Arabidopsis thaliana: one gene and its partners. The protein of the gene in region 4 interacts with the protein of the main gene of each other region in a pairwise test. Each region holds a gene or a part of one and is shown on either strand. Other genes may lie near its edges.

The links.
Region 1: the proteins of MKK7 (region 4) and AT1G35560 interact in binary tests that used the Arabidopsis thaliana proteins (3 or more experiments, as listed by UniProt).
Region 2: the proteins of MKK7 (region 4) and DRNL interact in binary tests that used the Arabidopsis thaliana proteins (3 or more experiments, as listed by UniProt).
Region 3: the proteins of MKK7 (region 4) and STP2 interact in binary tests that used the Arabidopsis thaliana proteins (3 or more experiments, as listed by UniProt).

The regions. Positions count from the first base shown.
Region 1 is NC_003070.9:13,113,400-13,119,862, forward strand, and holds AT1G35560 (TCP family transcription factor), read right to left. Parts: upstream 3,837-6,463; 5' UTR 3,726-3,836; coding exon 2,700-3,725; 3' UTR 2,427-2,699; downstream 1-2,426.
Region 2 is NC_003070.9:8,712,249-8,718,200, forward strand, and holds DRNL (DORNROSCHEN-like protein), read right to left. Parts: upstream 3,131-5,952; 5' UTR 3,062-3,130; coding exon 2,141-3,061; 3' UTR 2,117-2,140; downstream 1-2,116. Other genes in the region: AT1G24577 (uncharacterized protein), read right to left, coding at 510-737. UniProt on the Arabidopsis thaliana protein: Required for correct embryo patterning and cotyledon organogenesis. May positively regulate the gibberellin signaling pathway leading to germination, hypocotyl elongation, and leaf expansion.
Region 3 is NC_003070.9:2,250,440-2,257,350, reverse strand, and holds STP2 (sugar transporter 2), read right to left. Parts: upstream 2,530-6,911; 5' UTR 2,479-2,529; coding exon 2,346-2,478; intron 2,264-2,345; coding exon 1,944-2,263; intron 1,782-1,943; coding exon 1,155-1,781; intron 1,056-1,154; coding exon 639-1,055; 3' UTR 501-638; downstream 1-500. Other genes in the region: AT1G07330 (dentin sialophosphoprotein), read right to left, coding at 3,766-4,128, 4,236-4,996, 5,083-6,220. UniProt on the Arabidopsis thaliana protein: Mediates an active uptake of hexoses, probably by sugar/hydrogen symport. Can transport glucose, 3-O-methylglucose, xylose, mannose, fructose and galactose.
Region 4 is NC_003070.9:6,311,319-6,317,238, reverse strand, and holds MKK7 (MAP kinase kinase 7), read right to left. Parts: upstream 1,604-5,920; 5' UTR 1,554-1,603; coding exon 630-1,553; 3' UTR 501-629; downstream 1-500. Other genes in the region: AT1G18360 (alpha/beta-Hydrolases superfamily protein), read left to right, coding at 1-243; AT1G18340 (basal transcription factor complex subunit-like protein), read left to right, coding at 3,505-3,535, 3,659-3,747, 3,829-4,111, 4,381-4,427, 4,621-4,658, 4,745-4,790, 4,890-4,943, 5,028-5,096 and 3 more; AT1G18335 (Acyl-CoA N-acyltransferases (NAT) superfamily protein), read left to right, coding at 5,913-5,920. UniProt on the Arabidopsis thaliana protein: May function as a negative regulator of polar auxin transport. Positively regulates plant basal and systemic acquired resistance (SAR). Activates MPK3 and MPK6 in vitro.

The DNA of each region.
Region 1 (6,463 bases), 6.8 Mb from region 4:
ATTTCAGTTAGAAAAAGGTGCAAGAAACCTAAACGTTGTTCCCGATCTCGAAAGTGTAAAAAATGTTAAAAAAAACCATGGTTGCGGCCGGAGAAGAAAGAAGTGTTGGAGAAGAAATTATGGAAGCAAATAGGTCAAGAAACCGTGGTTTATTCAACTCAGGTCATGAAGGTTAAAACCTATAAACTCAAGCTAAAGTAATTAAATTTGCTTTCTCTTATTCATTTTGTGTTTCCCTTTCCTGAGTGTTAAGAGGGAGGAACCATTATCAGAGCTAGGTTTCATGTTGAAAACTGATGTGTAAAGATGGATTATGTTGATGAAGAACTGGACAATCTTTAAGCAAGATGCCTATACTAACTGGTCGTTTGTTGTTTTAAATCCGGCTATGAACTTGAAGAGCAGTAAAAAGGTAGTGTCAAAGAACATTGGTGATGCATTTTTGTCACCAGATGTCCAGATCAATGCAAAGAGATCTCTTCGTGAGGTCAACTTTCTTTGCCACTTGCATCATGATAAAATATGTTTGAGTTTCATCACTACTCTCTCATCGAGTTTATAAAAGCTTTGAGTTTAATCACAGCCAATAATTAATATCAGCTGCATGTTCCATAGATACCACGTAGAGAAAATGTTTTCTTGAGATCGATGTTTACAATGCATAAGAAATTATTAATAGATGGGTCTTCTCCCTCATCAAAATGTGCATGGAAGCAGAGCATATCTACGAAGGAGGAGGGTCGGAGATGGTGTATAAGGTCAACGGAAGGATGATTAAAAAAATCACCTTTGAGAACTGCGCTGTGAGAATAGAGGAGAAGAGAAATGGAAAAAATATCATTTAATCGTCCAACTTTAAAAAATGGTCATTTTATATTGAATTTTTATAGTATATTATTTTAAACATCAACTAAACATTGACTGCTGTATTAAACATGAGATTGTATTGACCTAACCAATATATATAGACATGACATTAAAATCCGATAACGGAACCACTAACAGTCGTTAACAATTCTGTTAGTCAAATTACCAACTTTCAAATTTAGGCTATTTTGAACATGAATTTCGTATAAGGCTATTTTAATCATCAACTAAATGTTGACCCGGCCAAAAAAAACATGATTTTAAAATCTACTAACATAACCACTAACAACTGTTATCAATCGTTAACGCACAACAAAACTAAGACAAAAAAAAATAAAAAGAATACAAATAACCAAAACACATGACTACAGAATAGTTAACGACTGATATCGGCTTTTAGTGGTTCCGTAATCACATTTTAACGTCATGTCAAAATTGGTCTGATCAACGCAATTTCATGTTTAATATGGCAGTCAACATTTAGTTGATATTTAAAATAGCTTACTATGAAATTCCTATATAAAATGGCCATTTTTTTAAAGTTGAATGATTACATGACATTTTTCCCGAAGAGAATGTTGAGAGTGATTTTATTTTTTGTCATCAGATATTATTTAGAGTTCAGATGAACCAAGATTGCGGAAAATTGTTTATATAGGTAATATGTAGCGGTTTGACACGAATTTTTCTTGCCAAATACTCCGCTTTGACATTGGTAATACGAGAGAAAGATAAATAAAAAATATGAAATAGTCAATACACGAATTAATAAAAGACAGAAGTTAGGATAAGTAATATTTTTATATTTGCATGTTAACGTTTTCTAAAATATTACTGATACACGTATTCTAGCAATTGTAATTGGTCAGAATTATGTAACAAGTCTTATGTTAATATGTAACTTGCTAAAGCTTAAGTTAGGAGCATGCTTCTACATCCCATATATGATAGATATATAAATCACAAGTAAAATAAATCATATTCTTTCTTCTTGACATGATAACATATTATTTCTAATATATTTTAAATATATTAAAAATAGTAAATATATAAAAATCCCAATAAACCATCTATTATATACACTTCCGAAATCAAATCCAATATTTTTTTTAAACTATATCAACTAACTTGAAAATATCAATTATCAAAATATATATCCGGGCTAACCCCTAGTCACATTAAAAACGGCATTTCGCCTGATTACCCGTCCAGCCTATTTTTCAAACACATTGGAATTTACTGTGGCATAGGAGTTCTCTCTGACGTGTCCATGTTGCTCCACAAGTGGACAATTTTTTGGTAGATACTACAAAAGTATGATAGACAAAATACGAATTTTAAAAGAGAATTAATATATAAATCTAAAAACCCATTTGTATCCAAACATGTGGTGCTCATGCACCCAATAAAGTTTATCACTACAGTCTACACCATATAATTTTTTATTTATATTCGTTAGCTTTTTACGAACTGCAATCAATTCGAAATATTTGAAATATATGAGCGGTCAAAGAAGGTGTATTCAATTATACCCTTCAACAAAAGAGAAAAGGCATTCTGATAAATATTTAATTTATTCTTTTGTCCATTATGTTACACATAGAGATTCAACTATATTTCCTTTAAGTGACATGCTTTTGCATCGAATAAAAAGAGTTGCAAAACTCGTTAATTATTATGCAACCAAAACAATAAATCCATTTTCTTAAATAACAATTTGGCAATCCCGAAAAGCCAACCCTAAAACCCATATTAACATTGGAGTCCTCAACAAAAGTTGCAATAAATCACACATTCACACTTTTTAAAAACCAAAGAAATCATGAAGTCTTTCAAGGAGAACCATCTATAGTAGGATTTTGGTCTCTAGTAGCATGATCACTCACTTGATGTTGAGGCTTTTGCTCAAGACTCATTCCGAGACCAACCCGACCACCGTCTCCTCCTCCGCCGGAAAATAGCCCCAAATTGTTATTTTCTGCAACACCTAACCCTAACTGTTGACCTCCCACTAACATAGACCCTAGCTGAACCGACCCGATTCGACCCGGGTAATGACCCGGATTAAACGCCCACATGTGCTGTGATGGATCCTGAACGTTAGCCGGACCTCCTCCTCCTCCGACTGGTAACATCCAAAAAGCACTACCTCCGTTTGTGGAGGCTGGCGTTGGCGCTAGTGCCCACATCGGCGGTATCATATTTTGTGTTCTTGACCGGGTCGAACCCGGATCTTGATCAGGAGCTTCGGATCCCGGTTTAGGTGATCTTGAACCGGGTTCTTGATCTAGAAAATTAGGATCTTTAAAAAGATCTTCTTCACGGAATGTTTTGGGAAGAGAAGAAGAAGAAGAATCTGTCGTGATATGATGAGGATGATAAAGCTGTTGCTGGAACCCAAAAACGGCAGCGTTTTGAGCCGCTCTTCCCATGTGGAAAGATTTAGACAGTGGAGCTGAAAGAGTAGAGCCACTGCTTCGAAGAGAGATGTTCAAAGTAGAGATATTCGCCGGTATGGTTCCAGTTCCGGTGGCTGCGATGATAGCTGGCTCCGCTTGTTGGAGCAGCCACTCTATAGTCTCGCCGTCCGATTTGTGTTGTAACTCACGTGTTAGTTGGAAGACACGTGCTGCGCAGATAGCCGGCATACGTATCCTCCGGCCACGTCCGTCTACTTTGATGTGACGGTCCTTGGACGGTCGTTTTGCGGGTGTTTTAGCGGCGGTGACGGTGGTGGTAGTGGAGTTTGGAGCAGTGGTGGTTAATGAGACTGAACCGGAGATTGGTCCCATGGATGGGACCAGATGGGCCGAACCAGTGGTGTTGTTGTTGCTCTGGTTGTTGTTGTGGGACTCCATATTGCTTATAAAATTTATAAATTATGGGGAAAAAAACACACAAGAAAATGGAATAAACAAACAAACAAACTTGTACTGAATTTTTACTTATAACCTATAAATTCTTGGAGTATTTTTTTTTTCTGGTGGGGCTATGAGTTTGTGTTGACTGTTGTTTACTTGTTTGGAGAAAGAGAGAGTGAGAGGAAGAAGATGAAGCAGCTTGTAGAAAAGAGAGAGAGACTTTCACTTTCTTTTTCTTTTGTGTTTTATTTTCATTTGTAGTCCCACTAGGTTTTTGTAGTAGAGAGTAGAGACCAATATTTGCTGTTTCCACACCAAATGATCACTTAACCTTTTTTTGTTTGGTTATTATCACACTTACTATATTGTAGTATAAAAATAATTATGCGCCGAATGTATTGAATTTTGGTCTAACTTTGTGAGACTAAAACTATTTTTAGCAATGGACTATGAAAAGTTTGGAAGTGTTTTACATGATTGAAAAAGGTGTGGATTGTCTAAGATTATAATTTTGGGGCATTTTTGTTGCAATCTTTAGATTGTAGGGATCTATTTGTTGGTTTCCTTATAAAGTTTGGCTTTTAGGTTGGATTTTGCATGGGTGGGAAACGTTGAATGTTCTATGGGGGAAAAGAAAAAAACTAATCACTAATCATAGAGCCAATTTACACCCAATATAATAGTGTTTTAATATTATTTATTTTTTTAATAATTTACTGATAATAACACAAATGTCTCTTTCTTTGATTCTCTATTTTGTCTTTGTTATCCGAATTTGATGAAAGACTTGTTGAGAGATAAGGACCACTGTTTTTATTAACGATGATACTAATAATTGAAGACTATATATAAAGGCTTCAATTCTTTTCCCATCTGCCAAATTAGCACCCACAGACATAGGTTATATATAACTAATCATCTCAACTACAATTTTTCTCAACGAAACCTATACATCTCATTCTAGATGTGAAAACTGTCTAAGAATAGTCCAATTTCAGCCTACTATGTTATATGCACATGTATCAGGGTGTTAACAAAGTATTCGAAATCAAAAAGTTTTAAGGAAAATAATTATGCAAGCGTAGTAAATCAATTAGTTTATTGATATTCACGTTGCTCTTAGTGATTAACCATGTATGTATAATCATATTAGTATTAATGCCTATTAACTGATTTATTGCAATATTTTAATTCATAATTGAATATTTAGACTGTATTATTGTTTCATTTTTTATATCAATTAAATTCCTTTATTAGGTTTTATGTTTTTATCAATCCAAAACCATATAATATATTATATTGCTAGCTATACCATTCGGAATCTTAATTTGGACACGAGCTTGAGCTTTTTGGCTGTTCTTAATGTAAGTTACATGTACGCACCGTGAGCTAAATTATAGATAACAATGAAAGTGAAACCAAACCACTATAAAAAAAACTTTATATTTGAACAGTATATTTTATATAATTTATATATATATATATATATATATATGCAATTATATTTTGAACTGTATATATAATCTCTCTTATTTTTTATTTTCCTGAAAAATAATTGTTGAGACAGATGCACGTGTAAGCATTAGCAGTGAAAGAAAACAGTAAAACAGTCAGAGATAGTTGAAGAAGTACAAGAAGCGAGTGATAAAAAAACGTGATGTTTGGTCTGAAACTCTGGATCCTCCCACGGTCCATTGTCTTGTCTCTGTTCTCTCCAAAAAGTGAAAATGTTCATTTACAAGACCATATAGTATGTAGCCTTGTTCAAGATTCTGTTAGAGCACCTTCATTGGATGGAGACTCATTGAGTATCTAAGAAATAAACTATTAATATTTTTTTATATACATTTATTTTTAAATAAATTATTTTAATTGCTTAAAAAAGTATAAAAGTATCAACCAATTAATGTTTTAAATGTGTAGGCAAGACGTTAAAAATAAAATAAAATGGTGAGAGAGTGAAAGTGTTAATCACTCTTCGACCATATATATCTCTAAAATGGTGCTTTTAAATTGTTTTAGAATCATCTACTGCCTAAAAAGCCCATGCTTTACAGGTTTTAGCTTTGGGTTGGTCTTGTGTGTAGGTATGATCTCATGAGTTCTCATCCAAAAAACAATTCTACTCTCTTTCATTCCCTTTAATTTCACTCATCCCATTTTACATTTCTTGTAAAAAGTTTCCTCAACCTTTCACTTCTCTTTGATACCACCTAGATACATAGAATCTCGTATTTCTATAATCTTGTGATATACATCGTACTTTTTTTTTTTTTTTTTTTAATGTAATGTTAAATTAAATCCAAAAAAAAAATAGCGTTTTTACATCTATGTGCAACATTTTGTTGAAAAAACTGGAGCAAAAACTAGAATACAATCTAAAAATTGTTTCTCATTCTCTCATCGCAAACCAAGCTTGTAAGCCCTTGTCATATCTCTTATCTCCACTTGCTTTGATCGAACAAAGCTGGTTCCGAGTTTGTTTGTCTATTCATTTGATTAAAAGAGCTGCTGAGTTTGGTTTCTCTCCATGATTCCTTCCGTTCCTTTCGCGCCAAATGGTGTGTACCGTGGCTTGAAAGAGATATCGCGCAAAGAAACTGTCAAGCGGTGTCATCCAAGAGCCGGAGATGGCTTGTATCAGGTCTTGCCAATGTGTAGAAAATCTGTCTCCATAGATTCCTCTTGCTAAGTTACTCCAAACTATCGAAGCAAAGTCACAGGAGAAGAAGAGA
Region 2 (5,952 bases), 2.4 Mb from region 4:
TTCTATTAAGAGATTGATTTTATGAAGTTTTGACATTATTTTTTCTATTGTTTCTGTAATATTATTTTGTGATTTGTTTATTTTAAAGATTAAAATTTACATTTCGCTTAAAATTTTGGAAACGTTGGACCAGTAGCAACCTCACACATTCATAGATCCGATCAGATTTGCTTTGTAATGCCCTTTGAAACACCTTAAAGGCCAACATCTTGAGGCGCAAGTATAATATCAAGAAAAAGAAAAACATTTTTTGACATAGCTTAACATTTGAAAGATTGTGTCAAAATTGATAAGTTGGAAAGTTATATTTTATTAATCAATTTATTAGAGATTAGAAGAAAGTAAATGTTAATATTTTACGCATACTCTAGATGAAAGAAACCTTCCACATATAAAACCAATAACTACAAGACGTAGAGACAGAAAGTAGAATAGAACTACTACCTTGTTTGGTCACTAGCATAATGCTCTAAAGAATAAACAAAAACAAACCCTAAGCTTCCTAGTGTCTACTTAGAATGATCTGGCTTTGTCATGAGACTTTGAAGAATGTTAGTCTCAACGCTTTTGTTACGCTGCAGCGAAGGAGTCCGGTGAAGCTTGCACTTGAATGACCCCGGGTGAGTGGTCGGTGAGCAAATGCAAATGGTCTTAGTGATGCTGGTCTGACGGGACAGACCCCCAAGGCCCATCGCCGCTATGGAAGCTTCAGTCTCCATGTTTCCTTTGTCGTTCATAATGTGAATATTAAAGAAGAAGGGGAATCAATGATGAACGAAGAGGGTATACCTCATTGTGTGTATATAATCATTTTATTATTTGAAGAAGCTTTAAGACTGAACAAATCTTTTTCTTTTTGTATGGTCATCACGGGAATGATGATGGAGTCCATCAAGGACCAACTGTATCCTTGAACTTTTCATGATGTTTCATCTACTTCTATCCCCAAAACCAAAAGGCCAAAAGCCACATAAGTCACTTTCTAATGGTTAATGATTCATGATCATGACTTCCATCATTCATCAATTATACACTTTTATAAATGTTGTAAATGTGTATACATTTATATAGTATTATACACTTTTATAAATGTTGTTGTTTATATATATGTATACATATATACTTTTATAAATGTTGTAAATGTAAATGTATATATATATATATATATATATATAAATGTGTATAATACTATATAAATGCAGTGCAATGCAAAAAAAACTTTTGTTATATACAAAGCGCATTGAATATAGAGGAAAACAATATGAGCTAGGAGCACTGAACTTCTATTTCATATTTAAATGAATATAATCTTTTCAATTAATATTTGGTAGAATAGTTCTATATATAGAATTGTAGTAACAACGAGATTTCAAATTCAAATAAGTGTTATGATTTTATTTTGAATGAATATCGATAATTGAATAATTTTATGATATATTTTTATATAATGTTTTGTTTTAAAATAAAAATTAATATAGACTGATGTGATCATATAAAACTAAAGACAGTCCCAACATCGTTCATATCACATCCACTAGAAATTCCAATATTTAGAAGATCTCTTGGATACTTGAAGAGTACCCCTAAAGATCATAATTGGGATATGGTTTTTTTGAATAAGGGTTATAAACATTGATGCAAATTCGAGTCCTTAAGTATATGTTTACTGAGTTTTGATGGTGCAAATACTTTAATGGACAAAGGATTTTGTGAACCTAAATATAATTATGCCCTTACGGTGATCTGAGAGGGAAAAGGGAAAGAAGAAAAAGCAAGAGGACAAAGGCTGTCTTTATGATTCTGAAGTCAACTTATAGAAAAGAAAAAAAAATCTTAATTTGTTCAAGATATATATTTTTGTCCTTTAGGTATTGTCTTCATCCAGCACCTCGAGTATTTTTACTTTATTTTTGTTATTACCTTTGCTCATAACCGACATATGTCATACACAATTAATTAACTTCGCTCATACTCAGATAAAAATTGTTCTTTGCTAAAACATAGAGATAAATTGATCATAGCACTAGACGAAAAATTAAAAGACAAAAGATTTGAGTTAGTTACCCTTAACCTCATTTCTTACAACCCTAAAGAAACTGTGAAGTGATAAGCACGTAAAAAGTAGAACAACAACAATATTCTAATAATCATCATGAAAGCAATACTGATAAAACATTCCACCATTTCCGTTCTGCTGCATCTTAGCTGAATCAAACCCATTCTCATGATCAGCCCAACCTAACTCTCCATGATATTTAACCTGACCGAATCCGTTTCCTTCGACATGGAAGTCAGCTAAACGAACATCTGTCTGAAAACCGCTCTCTGGCATCGTCGGGAAAACACCAACCGACTGTTGGTTGCTCTTTGGAGGTATAGAAGCATGTTGAGAGATAGGTTTTGGTAAGAAGCCTTGAACAATTTCTTGAAGAAGACCAGAACTAGCTGGTTCTGGTTCAAAGATATTTGATATCAGGCTCTCGTTCTCAATGGTACTTGACCTCTTAGCTTTAGGCGAGAGATCTTCACAGACATCGTTGACGTTAGTGAAGGACTCGTGAACAACGTCGTTTACGTTAGAAAGATTACAAGGCGGGTAAGCGAAAGTGGTTAACGGAGAAAGAGACTGAGAGTTTAACACGTCTCGTAGAAGGAACATATTCATTGGAGGAGACGAGAAAATACGGTGGTGATAAGAGTCGAGAGAAGGCATTGGGTAGACGAAGTTGGTTCGAGCTTTAAGACCACGCATGGCTCGAGCGGCGCAGTCATATGCGCAAGCTGCTTCCTCGGCCGTGTCAAATGTTCCGAGCCATCGTCTCTCCTTGGACAATGGGTCCCGTATTTCAGCTGCGTAACGACCCCATGGCCTACGCCTCACGCCTCGGTACCTTATCGTAGAGACACCGGAAGCGCCGGCGCCGGAGGCAGCTTTTGCGGTAGTTACTCCTCCGGGAGAGCCAGGAGCTGTCGAGGAAGTTCTTGATGGCTTTCTTTTCAAAGAATGGATGTTGGTTTCTCTGTGCTCGGCACCTTCGAGTCTCATGATTGCTTCTTCCATGGTTGACCTAAGGGAAATTTTTAAAGCTAAGAATTTTTCTTTTTGTTCTGTGATTGTCTTAGGGTTGTGAGGCACCTGAATGTGATGATAGCTGATTACGTATTTATAGAAAATAAAATATACATTTTTATTGTTTTTAATTTAAGATGGACCTGACCCAATATATAATTTAAAAAAATGGACTTGCATTGCATCTTTTATTGACTTGTGAGTTGTGAATCTATGAGAGATGCAGAAAGCAAAAGTACGTTTAACGAAGTTCTTGTTCCACGTTCGAACTTACATGTCTTTTCTTTTTCCTTTTCTACGGACTTGCATAAAAGCAGTTATAAGTTACATATTTCATGTCTTTTTGACAAGTAACAAATTCATAATTATGATGTACTATTTTTATCTTAACCCTTGCACCATTCTTTCTTATTGTCAGAGTATAAAGGTCCTTTGATACTGTTGATTAAAGGTCGATTTATTCTTTTGTTTTAAGTGAAAGACATGAATATATTTCAGAAAACTTTCTTGAACAATTTACAAATTAAAATTATAAAATCATTGATTTCATTTATTTTTGAACAAATTCAAAGGTCATCGTTTTCAGCTATTTCCGTTGGTCATATTATTCTTTAATCTTTACGCACTTTTCTTTAATTGTGTTTTGGGAAATAATCAATGGTCATTAATTTATAATAATAATGAATTACAGTAATAATAATAAGCAATAGAGTTAAAAGTGATTTATACAGTAGTTTGTGGAAGGGAAAATTATGATGTTGGAGTTGAAGCTTAAAAGGAGAGGGTTGAAAATCGTGAAATTATGATTCTGAATTAATAACACTGGCGGCGCGCAGAAATTGTTCCTTCTACATGAGGTTGTGTTTTGTCTGTTCTTTTTACGAGATTATGGTCGATTTGCTTATTTAGGGTTTTGCTTTTTAATCTGTAAACCAAAGTCACGTGGATTTGTCTCAACTAGGGCTCTTTCTTCATGGTGTAGCCTCTTTAGGGCTTTCCTACTGTAGCTCGATTGTGACTAATGACCCTTTGCGTTTACGGAAATCAATCTCCACCACTAATTTCGTATATATATGTTTGATAATTAATGTAATTTCGCATTTACATAAAAAATAATCTAAATCTCTCTCACATTCTTGATCAATTAATGTCTGTAAAGCTCCATTCATATTCGAGCCCTAAATATAAGGGTTGAATGCAAAAAAAAAAAATCCGTCAAAAAAAGTTTTATCACGCCTAGGAGAAAAAATTATCAATCGTCTAAATATAAGGGTTGCATGCAATTATCACGTATGTTATTATGTTTATCACGTAATTATTGACATATATCGCGTAGGAGAAAAAAAATATATCAACGCAGAAGTCTTTTAGGAGTGTCTAAATATTTTGCCGTTGTTATATATATAACGATTTACAATCATATCTAATTGCATGTAATTTTTTTTTCATTTAGGTTGTGCCGCGAAAAAATATGCAGATTGAAAAGAAAAAAATAACAAACAAAAAAATGGAATAAATATGTGAGGCAAACAAAAACAAAACTATGTTTCCTCAACAAAACGTTGGCAAATCATGTCTACAAACAGTAGATGTTGAAGGAAGAGAAGTCGTGAGCTCCTTGTGGAATTAGTGGATTATGAAGCTGAACACCACAGAGCTCAGTTTGTAAGGAATCGAAATCACTTTTAAAAAATGTGGAAATTTGTGGAAAACTTGAACCTATATAACGGTGGTATCAACTTGTACGTACACGGTACAACATATCAACAGAAGATTAATTCATGAAGTAGTTTGAATAATCGGCTCTAGCTAGATCTTTAATTCATAGAAATCAGACTAATATTCTAAACCTAAACGATATGGACGTCAATTTGTCAGATGGAGAAAACGGGAAAACTGTTAAGAAAAGAAAATCCTATATTTCTATTTTGATGCATGCTTCCGTCTTTCGAAACTACAAAGAATTAATTTGTAACTTTATGAGTTATGACAACAAAAAAAAGAAGTATTATCATAGCTTTGAAATATATAGGGTGGAGTAGTGAAAAAAAAAATATAGGGTGGTGAACACTATTGATTACATGATATAGATTATTGAGAAATTCCCAATATATCCACATAAAAGAATTAAATGAATGAGAGAATGTGAAAATGTGCTATTTGAACCCAAAATCTTAATTTATTTAATTCAAAAAATAAATGTGCTATGTGATAGGGGTTATAATACCTCAAAAATATATTTACTATTATGCTCAAGAGGCATTCTAGTTAAAGATTTTTTTTTATGTAACTTATTTAAGTACTATATATTTTAATATTTTGGGTTACAAAAAAAATATATCTTACAAAGGAAGTAAATTAAATGTGAGCTTGACCGAAACATAACGGTCCATGGCTCCCATAATAGTTTCTTTACATTTAGATGAAATGAAATTATAACTTTGGTCTTGAGTTGAAATGTCTGGTAATAAAAGAAGAAAATGGAAGGCAAAAATGAAGGGGCAAAGCTACGAAAGTAGGTTACATGCAATGGTACGACATTAAAGTTGATACCAGAATTGTCGCCTCTCTTCTAAACGCGTGGGTTTTTTCTCTGCACAATGCGTCTCTCTCTCTCTCTCTCTATCAATGGCAATATAAACAATATATTATGTTTGACTTTTTTCCCACACGAACGGGCCATCATGTTATATAATGTGATATCGATCGCTAATAGTTGTGGAATATGTTTGTAGCTACGCAAATTAAGGTCATATATGCTATAGCTTACATCCCAAATAAAACACACACGTTACACGTATAAGAAAATCATGCATGGAGCATGGTGATATAAACTAAATTCTTCCATGCATTGTGATATGTAATGCATGGAGCATGGTGTA
Region 3 (6,911 bases), 4.1 Mb from region 4:
ACAAAATTTTGTTTTAATTTTTTTTTTTACTTTGTCTTAGCTCAAATTATCAAAACAATAAAAAATTGTCTTAACCTTTTTCTGTTTTTCAACATTTTACTTAATTATATGTAAAACAAATTTACGTTTCTTTCCCTCTGAATTATTTTCTAGTTATATTTTGTATTTCATACACCTATGTGTAAGTGGTATAAAGAGTAAATTTAACTTCTTCTTCTTTTCAACAAGAGTAAATTTAACTTTAAAACTAAAAATTACATGATTTTATTAGTGATATATATAGTTGTTTTTGAATAGTTAATATAGATTATATTGATATGCACAAATCTCTTAGTGATTTGTCCCACTTTATTAGGAATCTTAAAAACTGAAGTTCGAGAATATTGTCGTTTGCTTAGACAATTCAATCCCCAAACTATAATTGTGCCTGATTATTTGAATACCAGAACTGAAAATATTAAACTTCTCCAACTGATTGATAAACATATCCAACTGAATCTTTAACAATTCGAACTACAAACTTAAAAAAATAGCAGAAAATAAAAATCAAACCCTAGCTAGAAAAATTAGAAAAGGTTCAAATTACTAGTTATTAACTAGGGACCTTGGGGAACAAAAAGAAAGAAAGAAAATGAAATCTAGTCTTTGAAATATTTCTTCCAACGCGGGTGCGTTTTCCAACGCTTCTCGGCCATTTCCTCAATAGGAACACCTTTGGTTTCGGGAAGAAAAAACACGACAAATAGTCCCATGATAATGTTCATTATTCCGAAGAAGAAGAACAATAATGATCTGAATCTGCAGAGAGCAGACAAGAAGAACTGTCCAATGATGAAAGTGCAGACCATGTTCATCGCCACCGCACAGAAGTAACCAGCATTTCTCACTTCAAGAGGGTAGATCTCAGACGGAACAAGCCATCCCAATGGACCCCAAGACCATGCAAATCCAGACACGTATACGCAGATGAGGATCAATACAATCAGCGGCACGGCATGGCCAGTAATAGGACCAACTAGCTTCAAGTGAGCTAAGAGAATGCCTCCAATTGTCATCTGCGTAAGATGATCAAAAAAAATACAAGTTAGCTTGTTATCCAAGTAAGAATATGTGTACCATGTGACACAAGCAAAAAAAAAAAAAAAAAAACTAACCTGTGTAGCGGTCATCTGGAGAGCTCCTTCCATCAGAAGACACCTTCTACCGGCGAAATCAACCACTAAAAGAGAGATAACTGTAGCGATTGCGTTCACACCATTGGTGACAACAGTAGAGATCAGAGAAGCGTTGTCACCACTACCCATCGTCTGGAACAAAACTGGAGCGTAGAACATAACCACGTTGATACCGGTGAACTGTTGAAAGAACTGAAGTAACGTTCCACACACCAATGGTGGTCTGTTCTCACTCTTGGTGAAGAGTTCTTTGAATGGGCTTTTCACCTTTGTCGCTACCTCTGTTGCGTATTTGATCTCATTGAACTCGAGCTCAATATCTTCAATGCCTCTGATCTTCCTCAGGACTTGCTTCCCCTTTTCGTCTTTACCGCGCTCGATGAGACTAGCCGGAGTCTCGTGGATAAAGAAGGATCCTATCAAGAGGATTAAAGCGGGGACAGCAGCACCACCGAGAGAATATCTCCAGCCGTTTTTCAACGTGGAAGTTAAGTAGTTCACATAACTTGCTGCTAAGATTCCAATGGTGATGAGAAACTGGAACATGACGTTTAGTCCTCCTCTGTATCTCGCCGGAGCAATCTCTGAGATGAACAATGGAACGGTCTGCAAAAGTATTGCTTTCAATGTTAATAAACAAAACAAAACAAAACACGATGAGTTAAGGCATAAAAACAGAGGAAACCCTAGGTGAAAACAGAGGAACCCTAGATGAAAACAGAGGAATCCACTGAGATAGAAAAACGTTTTGAGGGTTTGACATGATACCTGGTTACCGAAACCGATACCAAAGCCGAGAAGAATACGACCACCGATCAACATGCCGAGTTCTTGGGCAGATAAGTTGAGGATAGCACCGACGAGGAAGAAGATGGAGGCGAGCATGATTGTGGGTTTTCTTCCAAAAGCCCTAGAAACATAGGAAGAAATAAAGCTAGCGAAGATTCCAGCCAAGTAGAGTGAGGAAGTGAACAACTGCAAGAGCTGGTCATCGAATTTGCAGTAGTTGTTTTCGTGTACTCTGTGTTTCTTCTCGTACACGTGTGGGAAAAAATCTAACAAGAAAGTGTCCATACTCGTTACACCTCCTGCAAATTTTGATCACCATTAATTGATATCACTGAAAAAACAGTCAAACCCTAACAAACAAAAACCAATAGAAGAACAAACCTGAGATTCCGATGTCGTAACCAAACATGAGACCACCAACAGCAGCAATGACACAGCAAAGAAAGACTTGACCTGTCAGCTTCGCAGGAAAAGCTTTAGTGCCTTCTTCGACATTCATCGAACCAACAGCCATTGTTGTTGATCTCTTAGCTTCTTTTAATATTTCTGACTATGTGGTATTGAGGATCGTAAATAAAACTCAAATGCCTAAGAGAGGAGATGGGGTTTCTTTTATAGATGAGTGTGAGGGTTTTGGATAAACTAAGATTTAACAACTGAATCTTTTTGAACGAATTTTTCTTCTGACTCGATCCTGTTTTATCTGAGAATAAATGTGGATAATTACTGATAAGATATATGTGTTTTGATATTAAGATATTATCATTTAAATAAATAAACAATTAAATCGTTTAGATCAATATCGAGATTAAGAAATAAAAACTCTTTTTTTTTTAAGTAAAAGATAATGACGTTTGATCGACACAATAATAATTTTTTATACGACATATATGATCTCAGAGCTTGGCTTTTGATTATGTAATATTTTTAACATTCATATAATTACACAAGCAAGTCTGGGTAGAATATTTTTCCTATAAGAAATGAGTGTGAAAAAAGTTTTGGATAAAATTTAGACAAAATTATCCGCATGGTCATTGCATGAAAAAGAATAATAATCTACACCTATATAATCGTAAGAATTATAAGTATTTGTTATTAAAAAAAAAAAAAAAATTCTTGTTATACATTTTTCAGCATGGATAAAATTTTATCCAAATGTTTTTTTGGACATCATTTATCCACATTTAAAAGCAAATATTAATCCCATGAGAGAATACGAGAAAAACGCAGATAAGTTGATATACGGTTTTAAAAAAAAAAGGTGACCACTTATATTAAAAGGTAAAATTAATTGGTCATTAATATTAAAAAATATTTAGAGCTTCATAATCAGGAGAAGAGTTGTTGTTGTTGTAAAAAATTTTATCTTGTTGATAATCAACGATCCTTTATTTATTTTAAACTAAAAGAGAAAGTAATTTACTAAAATTTAGAAATAACCAATCATTATCAGATTTCCCATACTATAATACATTAAACTTTTTAAAAGACAACATAAATTATATCTCAGTTATCATCAAACAAAATGATGATCACTTCACTAAATCAAATTCCACACATTAATGTTCAACTTTAGCATATACATAAAATTTAGCTAGGGAACCTAAATCCTCTACACTGCATAAGCCTGAATTTGTTGAGTGTTCAACAAAAGGACAATGGCATCTAAAGAAGAAACTTCTTCTCTAGCTTCTCACTTGCCTCAGACTATCCTTGTTTTAGAAAACACACGTCATCATTTTGTTAAAGGTACATTTCAGTTCAAGTACTGTCATTGAAACTGATCTCTGAGCACACTTCATCTACTGTTCCCATCAACACCTGATTGATTCTGTGGAGATTCCGGATATGGAATCACTGGCGGAGGTTGACTATCTAATGTATGTTCCAAACTCTCAGAAGTCAGAGTATAAGTCTGGTCTAAAGATAACAACATGTCTGGTAACACTGATCTTGGGGAAGTAGCAGACTCGTCTGATGTGACATTGTTCACATTTGAAACTTCAGGTTCCACAAGTTCTTGCAACTCTTGAGTTGATTGGTCTCCATCATTTCCCCCAAAATGTTCTTGGGGTTCTTGATTTGTTCTTCTTTCAAAGGCTTCAGGTTCATCAGAGTCATCATTTATCTTCATCTCATCAGTCAAGTTTTGGACACGTTCCTGTCATAACGGTACAAGGAATATATTCAAATTCAACATTTTGAGAAACACATTGCAAGTAGCAATCATATTTCCATAAAACCTGACAAGAACAAGAACTATATAACCTCTTCTCTTCTCGAAATAACTTCATTGATGTGAGGAACTGTTGACTCTTCATGTATATAGAATCCTTTGTCTGAATTTTCCAGTGGAAAGCGTCCGGATTTTGAGCTCTCTTCTTCCTCAGATCTTCCGTTGATATCAGTACCATCAGACAGACCCTCAACTTGTTTGGCTACATAAGTTTCTGGAGAGACCTTAGAAATCGTTTCATTTAAATCTTTATCAACTTTCTCCACTGGTAACATTTGAGTTTCTTCAGTTCTATCCACAATGCTCTCCTCACCACTAAATCCCGTCTCCTTCCCAATGTCTGATTCGTTGACAATACGTGATTTTTCTTCATCAGAAGAATTATTCCCATCAACTGTAGTGGGAGGTGATCCAATTTCAGAAACCTCAACTTGAAGATCAGATTCTACAGATAACTTATGACCTTTTTTTGAGCTATAACCAAAATGCTCCACGTATCTTTGCCTTTCCGCTGCTAAAGAACTCGAAAGCGAACCAGTGTTTCTAGGAACTAAACCAACTAAAGGGTTTTCAACACGAAGATCACCATTTCCTTTCCCAGAAGTTCCAGAAAAATATGCTTGATTTGAGACATCAGAATTCATTTCCCTGTCTTCAGGAGAAAGCAATGAGTTTGAATCACTAACAACAATCTCTGTCATGTGTTCTGACTCCATATCATTTACTTCTCCTCTTGTTAGATCTTTTCCTTTCATTACAGGATGTTTCTCCCCAACCAATCCATCATTGCTACCTACATGAGCAAGGATCAGAATTGTAGAACTTAGAATCATTTACTTTGTAAGCTACAACATTTTTCAGAATGACAAGAGGATGTACCTTGTTGTGGTATTGACTTCTTTTTCCACGGTTCCCATTTCGTGTCAAGCTGATTGTCCAATGGAAAGACTCTGCGACAAAAGCTTTCATGGCGGCAGAAGAAGATATCATTAGGGTTGGCTGCAAACTCTTGCTGAAAACTATCTCCTGAGAGGTTAGGCTTCTCTTCTTGTGGATCATAAGGAATATCAAAAGGGTTTTTAGTTGGTAATAACACAGAAGGTGCAGATTCAGGCATTTGAAGACCATCAACTATATAGTTTTCTTGATCCAAACCGAAATAGTTCCGTCCAACACAGACTGGAGGAACTTCCATATCCATTAAGCTACTCTCAGCGGCAAGTCGGACTAATCTCCTCATTCTTCTTCTAGTAATCAAATGCTCTAACCTCTTGTTACGTTCCATCTCAGAGTTTCCTAAATCCATCAAATTCTTTTGATCATCCTCTGTCCAAGCTACAATCTTTTTGTCTTCACGTGTAGTTTCTTCTTCTTCTTCGCCTTCTGATGACGATGAACACTCGATCTCGGTTTCGCCACCACCACTAGTCAACCTCTCCGATGGATCCACAACGGAAACATTCCCGGTGGTTGAAAGAGTTTCTTCATCTAAGCTAGGCTCAAAGGAGAAACCTTCAGACACAAGAAAGGCTCCATCTTTCTTGAATTTCTGAAGTTTGGGAGATTTTGCAGTATTGGGAATTTCACCATAGAGAGTTGTTAAAATGACTCTGTCTCTCTCATCTTCACTAGCCTGAGAAGAGTCCCAATCTTTCCCAACCTCTTCAACTTTCCTTCTAGCGTTTCGTCGAACACTTCGTTGGTGCTTTAAGTCAGCCTTCCTTGTTTCTTCCTCCTCAGATCTCTTTTGGGAAAATGGTGAAAACCAATTATCCGTTTTGATATGCAAAAGCTTAAAACTTGGATGATTCCGAAGATAAAACACAGAGCATGCGATTAACGGAGAAGAGTAAAGGACGAAATAAAAAAGGCGTGGAAGAAAAATGTATAGGAGGAAGATAATTGCAGAAACACCAGAAACAACTGGGTGATTCCTTACGTTTCTATAAACGATGTTCGTGGAAAATCTGAGAATTTTCCAGAACAGAGTTCCGACATCTTTGGCATCGATTCCCATGTTTTAAACAGTTCAAATTCTCAGAACACTTTGAGAGATAATAACCCAAAGCATTCTGTCTATGGCGGTTTGTGTTTTGTCCTAGAGAATCAAAATGCTTGAAAGGGAAAAACAAATATGGTTTAATTGAAGAAGCGAAAATTGATCAATAAGAGAGAGGTCAAGCTTTCATTTGAAACAATAACCAGTCAATAAAAAATAGATTTTTCAAGGGTTTTTTTAGATTTTCGTTTTGGTTCTTTTTCAGTTTTCAGAACACACGGTAAGGACGGAGAAGACAAAATAGAAAACTGGTAAGAGAGGGCGGGAGTTAAATTAGTTGCTTTCTTACACATGTTTCCAAAGATTCTTGTTTTCTTACACTTTTAACCACATTTTTTACTGGTTCAGAAATTGACCCTTAAAGTTCATGGATTTTGCATCTCATATCTCTTTCTTCAAAAGATTGGGCTATCTTCTTAAGCCCACCAAGACCCATCAAATGTCTGTAAATAACATACACTATTGACACTTCCTAAGTTTTCTAGCTAATCCTTTTTTTTAGCAAGTTGTTAACAGATTTGTGTGAGACTATTCATGATTTTCAAAACCAAGATGAACATCAACGCTTAAAGCTTATAATAGCCACTCTTTCTTGTTAACTTGATGACTAAAGTCAATCTTTGTTGCTCAATCTTAACTGATACACACA
Region 4 (5,920 bases):
ATCCTTAGACTTGGTGCTCATTTACTGCAGAATCTGAACAGAATCAAGGTTCCGTTTCTTGTGATGCACGGCACAGCTGATACAGTTACTGATCCTAAAGGTACTCAGAAGCTATACAATGAGGCTTCCTCATCCGATAAGTCGATCAAGCTGTACGACGGGTTGTTACACGATCTGCTCTTTGAACCAGAACGGGAAACTATAGCTGGAGTCATATTGGATTGGCTAAACCGGCGGGTTTAAATTCCTCAAACCAAATGTAGCACAGTTCCTTACTCCTTAGGTAATATAGAGGGATATGCGAAAGACATAATCAATAGTTCCTCTGTTTCTGTCGATTGATCTCGACACTATTTTGACATTACGCACACTTTTATTGTAATGAATATACGATGTTGTAACTCTGTTAGTGGTCATCGTAACCATTTCTTGTATAAACGATACTAGATTTATATTTTGTTGATAGGGAGATAATCATAATTATATATGGGGTTTATAAGAATATGAATCGTCAGATGAATTTCAATAGAGCATATTTCTGATCATACAAAAATTCTACAAAAAAATAATAATTGCGATTTGGGTCACCCGGAAAATATCCAGACCCGTAATATCACAAGCAGTCGGATCTAAAGACTTTCACGGAGAAAAGGGTGACCGAGAAGCTGCGACGCCGTCCACCTCTCACTCGATTCTTTACGGAGACAACAGTCAACAAAACTCCTAAACTCGTCGGAACATCCTTCCGGCGCACGCGGTGGTTCTCCAAAGCACACGACGCACATTAACGTCGCCCAGTCAGGTCTCTGTCCCTGAGGAAGCAACGGAAAATGTCCGACGAAGAGCTCAAGTATCATCACTCCGAAACTCCAGATATCGCCTGCGTAAACATCGGAGTTTTCTCCGGCGGCAGAGTCAAATCTCTCCGGGCTCATGTAAGCGCAAGTGCCGACGTAGGAATTGCAGTAATCTAACGATCGGGTAATGATTTTGCTCACTCCAAAATCAGCGATTTTAACTTCGTTTCTCGAGTTTAAGAGTAGATTCGCAGGTTTGATGTCTCTGTGAACGATCTTGAGTGAGTGGAGATAACTTAAACCTTTCAAAATCTGGCGGGAAAATCCCGCTAGTTGTTTCTCCGTAACGGCGCCGCGGAGAGATTCTAGGTTTCCACCGTCCATATACTCCATGAGGATCGAAACCTCTCCGACGATTGGTTTCTCGAAGATCCCTTGACACCTGACGACATAAGGAGAATCCGTGCGACGGAGGATCTCCATCTCGCGCGCTAATTGTCTTGTGAAAGCAGGACTCATGTCGCCGTTGACTGATTTCAGAGCGTATATCTCCCCCGTGGTTTTGTGGTGGACTTTGTATACGATCCCGCTGCTTCCTCTTCCGAGAACGTGGAGTTTCTCGACATCGGAAGCTGAGATTCCGTTGTTGATGACGGGGGCGGTGGATGAGGCAAAGGAGAACCAGGGGAGGTGAACAGAGAGCGGTGGGACAGGGAGACGGAGGTTGATTTGACGGCGTTTACGAACAAGAGCCATGGAAATAGAAGAGAGAGAGAGAGAGTGATGATGGTGATCGAAGAGTGATGGAAGTTGCAGTTTTTATATGGAGACTTGAGTGGGATTTAAGTGAGGAGCCTGGGAAGCTAATAAATCTTTCCATTAAATGTTAATCACTCTTTTTTGTTCTTTATCTTAATTATTATTTGTTGAGTTGTATCTAAAAATGGCAACTAGTGTGTCTACCGTTTATGTTTATCTTGCACGAGGTTAAATGCATGGGACTGCTATCTGTCCTACTTACCCGGAACCTGGCTATAGTGGCTTGTGTATATTGAGATAAATCTACGCAATAATGATTAGATTTATATACATTTAAAGAGTTTGTTTTAGTGATTTTGAATGGTAACTCAATTATCAAAGTTTGTTACAGCCTGTATCGTGATAATTACAAATTACAAAGGCGTTATAAAAGCGTTACTTTTAACGTTTTGCATTAATGATTAGATTTATATGCATTTAAAGAGTTTGTTTTAGTGATTTTGAATGGTAACTCAATTATCAAAGTTTGGTACAGCATGTACCGTGATATTACAAATTACAAAAGCGTTATAAAAACGTTATTTTTAACTTTTTGTACTACTTATTTATATAGTTTTGCATTCTAATTTACAGCTAAAACAACTTTAAAGCTTTGTGTTACCTATCAGAATCGTTATCTTCACATTCAAACACATAATCCATTGTTGTTGAAAAATAATAATACTTTCAAAACATTTATTTTAGTGATATTAATTTGACTTGATAGTAAGATTATTATTTACTCATAAAGACATTGGTGGAATTTAGTTATATAATTTTCATATACTAAACTATAGGAGATTTTAAAGTTTAATGTGAATTTGTGAGGTTCAATGTACCTCGGAGGCTAAGGACTTCTAATGAAAATGACCAAACAATAAGTTATATTTAGGCCATCATGCAAAAGCTTTCCAATGGCCATCGCCATTAATATTGCCAAGTTAATTATTAATATGATTTTAGTAAAAACTATGATTAGATCTTCAGATTCTTAGTGGACAGTCACACATGACCCTACGGATTACAAGTATTTAGCATGTCGATTGTCATGCGCGTATATATCCAAAGAATACTGAATAAAAATAATATGAAGTCAATCAAATGAATAACAATCAAATTATATGAAGTCAATCAAACCTTTATGAATGTGATTTGCTTCTTTTTCCAACCAAAAAACTTGTTTGTTTATTTGTTAGTTGTTACTCCCAAAAAAATGTAGTAAGCTTTTTATGCCCCATGTATTATATATCAAGACGATCTCCAAACATGACTATAGTTTCATAGGATGGATTGGATATCAGGACATGTGTGAATTTACTAATTTTTAGTATTGAAACAAACAACATTTCAACCAAAATTTTTTACCATTAAAATTAATATATCGACGTCCGATAGTATAAAGCTTGAATAAACTGAATTTCGTATCAGTAGCCAGTTTGAAAAATAAATTTGTTCCTTGAGATTTTGGTGTTCTTTTCCAAAAGAAAGAACAAAGAAAACAAAAGGCCCTTGTAAAAGGCGGTTTAGTTCATAAAGAAAACTGGGCCTATCTAAAAATTTGAACTAATGCCATATTTGGGCTTAGTAAGCCCGGCTTACGATACGACGTTTATAGTCGGATCTGATTCGGATCCAAACCCGTTTGATGGATCCGGCTCCTACCAAATCACTTCAGATTTCTGTATAAGCTAAAAATCCTTGAATTTTTCAGTAAGTTACTATAGCATCCGAGAATTTCATTCTTTAACTCTGGTTCGTAATCGGAAAACTCAAAGACCTGTTGTGAAGATATATTGGAGAAGAAAAAAAAAACGATTTCCCGGCACTGAAATAGCATTATCAGATCTCGTTCCCACCGGGAAGATTTCCCGGCACACTGAAATTCTGACTTGGAATCGTCTGTGAAACTATGCCTGCCATTGCTTCTAAGCAGTATTCAGGTTATTATTAAATTCCTCTTACTTCGAAACCCTCACATTCCTCAATCGTATAAGTATGTAGATTAGATATCCCAAAAACTGGAAACAAGTCTGATTGGCTCGTGATTGTTTTTTTGGTCGCAGACGATGTTAGTCTTCTAGTTTTGTTGCTTGATACGAATCCTCTTTTCTGGAGCACTACATCGATTACCTTCTCTCAGTTCCTTTCTCATGTAAGTGTCTCTAACGAATCTATTGTTTGTTTGTTCAATGCTTCGATTTTTATGCAGAAAGCTTGCTGCTGTTATGTGTAGGTGCTTGCGTTTCTTAATGCGGTTTTGGGGTTAAATCAGTTGAACCAAGTTGTAGTTATAGCTACTGGATACAGTTCTTGTGATTACATTTATGATTCGTCTTTGACATCAAATCATGGAAATTTCGAGAGCAATGGAACTGGAATGCCTGCAATTTTTGGTTCTTTGCTTAAGAAATTGGAAGAGTTTGTTACCAAAGATGAGGAGCTCAGCAAGGAGGAAGTGTCTGAGGATAGAATACCTTCTTGTCTCTTGTCAGGATCACTCTCCATGGCTCTTTGCTGTATCCTCTTGGAAAAGCATATAGCATCATGATAGGTTTCTTGAAGCTATATATAGTACAAACTATTAGGATTTGTTTGCATAAGTTCTGGCAGTGATCTTGAAGCTTAGCTTTCTCTCTAGACTGGGTTAAGTAAGGAACATTTTAGGTTGACATGTTTGTTCTCAGCTAAACCTATAGCATGTCTAAGGCCATCAATGTTATCTGGTAATATATGTATTTGATTTTCAGTCTTCACATTTTGTTGTTGACTTAATTTATGGCTCTAGATATACAGAGGGTTTTCCGTTCTGGACATCTTCATCCCCAGCCTCGGGTGAGTGTTCAGTAGGATATATGTATCAATCAGTTGTCTTGGATAAAACTTTTCATGTTGATTGCTTTGTATGAATCTTCAGCTTAAAGTATTAATGAGAATATAGACTCCTTTTTCTTATGTGTTATCTGTTCTATCGTATACCCCCAAAATACAGAACTGATTGTGCTATTGACGTTTATATGAAATACAGATTTTATGCTTGCAAGGTTCCCCAGATGGCCCGGAACAGTATGTTTCTTCCTTCATTTTTTTTCTACTTGCAAGATTTTGTCTTGTTTGTCTGGTCTCATTAAAAGGTTTTGTCATTCTTTCAGGTATGTTGCTGTTATGAACTCTATCTTCTCTGCCCAACGCTTGATGGTAATCTTCATTTTGATTGGTTCTTTGGGATTTCCGGTTCTTGATGTTCTCTAAATCCAGTATCATGTACCCAAATCACTTCATCAATTGGTTCTTTAGGTTCCCATTGATTCGTGTTACATAGGTGTACAGAACTCAGCATTTTTGCAGCAGGTAATATCATTTCTCCTTTATACATGATTCTAACTCGTCAAACTGGACCTATGCGTCAGCTGTTATCTCCTGGCTTATTTGTAGGCATCTTATATAACTGGTGGTGTACATCATACACCTAAACAGTTGGATGGGCTATTTCAATATCTAACGGTACGCAACTCAAGTCCAAACGCAAACCATTATGTGACTCGTCTCTCATTTAGCGAACTCAATACTCAATGGCTGCTAACTCTGGATTGTTTTGTTTTGCACAAAAGACAATCTTTGCAACCGATTTGCACTCCCGCGGTTTTGTACAACTTCCTAAACCCATAGGTGTAGATTTTCGCGCATCGTAAGTGATCAAGTCATTAACTCTTCAATTAATCGGGTCTTCCTCTGCATATATAACAGATGGTTTTAAGTACAAAATTTGCAGGTGCTTTTGCCACAAGAAGACAATAGATATGGGCTACATATGCTCAGTGTGTCTGTCCATTTTCTGTGAGCATCACAAGAAATGTTCAACCTGCGGGTAAGAGATTTGACCCGTCATGTTCTTTCTCAAGATAACAATCTATCATGTTGTTTGATACTAATATCGAAAAGCTTTTGGAAATTTGCAGGTCTGTATTTGGTCAGTCTAAACTTGATGATGCTTCATCTGCCTCTGATAAGAAGAGAAAAGCTCCTAGTACCTAAAATCATCTTTTGTGCCAGAGAGAAACTGCAAACTTTGTTTAATTGTGTCTTTGCGTTCATTTTCGATAATTTTTATACCATATATCAAAGTGAAATCAATTTTGCAAAGTTTTTGACTCTTTTTTTTTCCTTGAGATAGTACCCGTTGACTTGAGCAAACAAAACAAAAAGGCCTCTAATAGTCCATATAGAAAGTTGGGCTTCTCTATCGAATTTGAACGAATACGACATTTGGGCTGACGTCATTTATTATTGTCGGATCTATTTCGGGTCCAAACCCGTTTGATGGATCC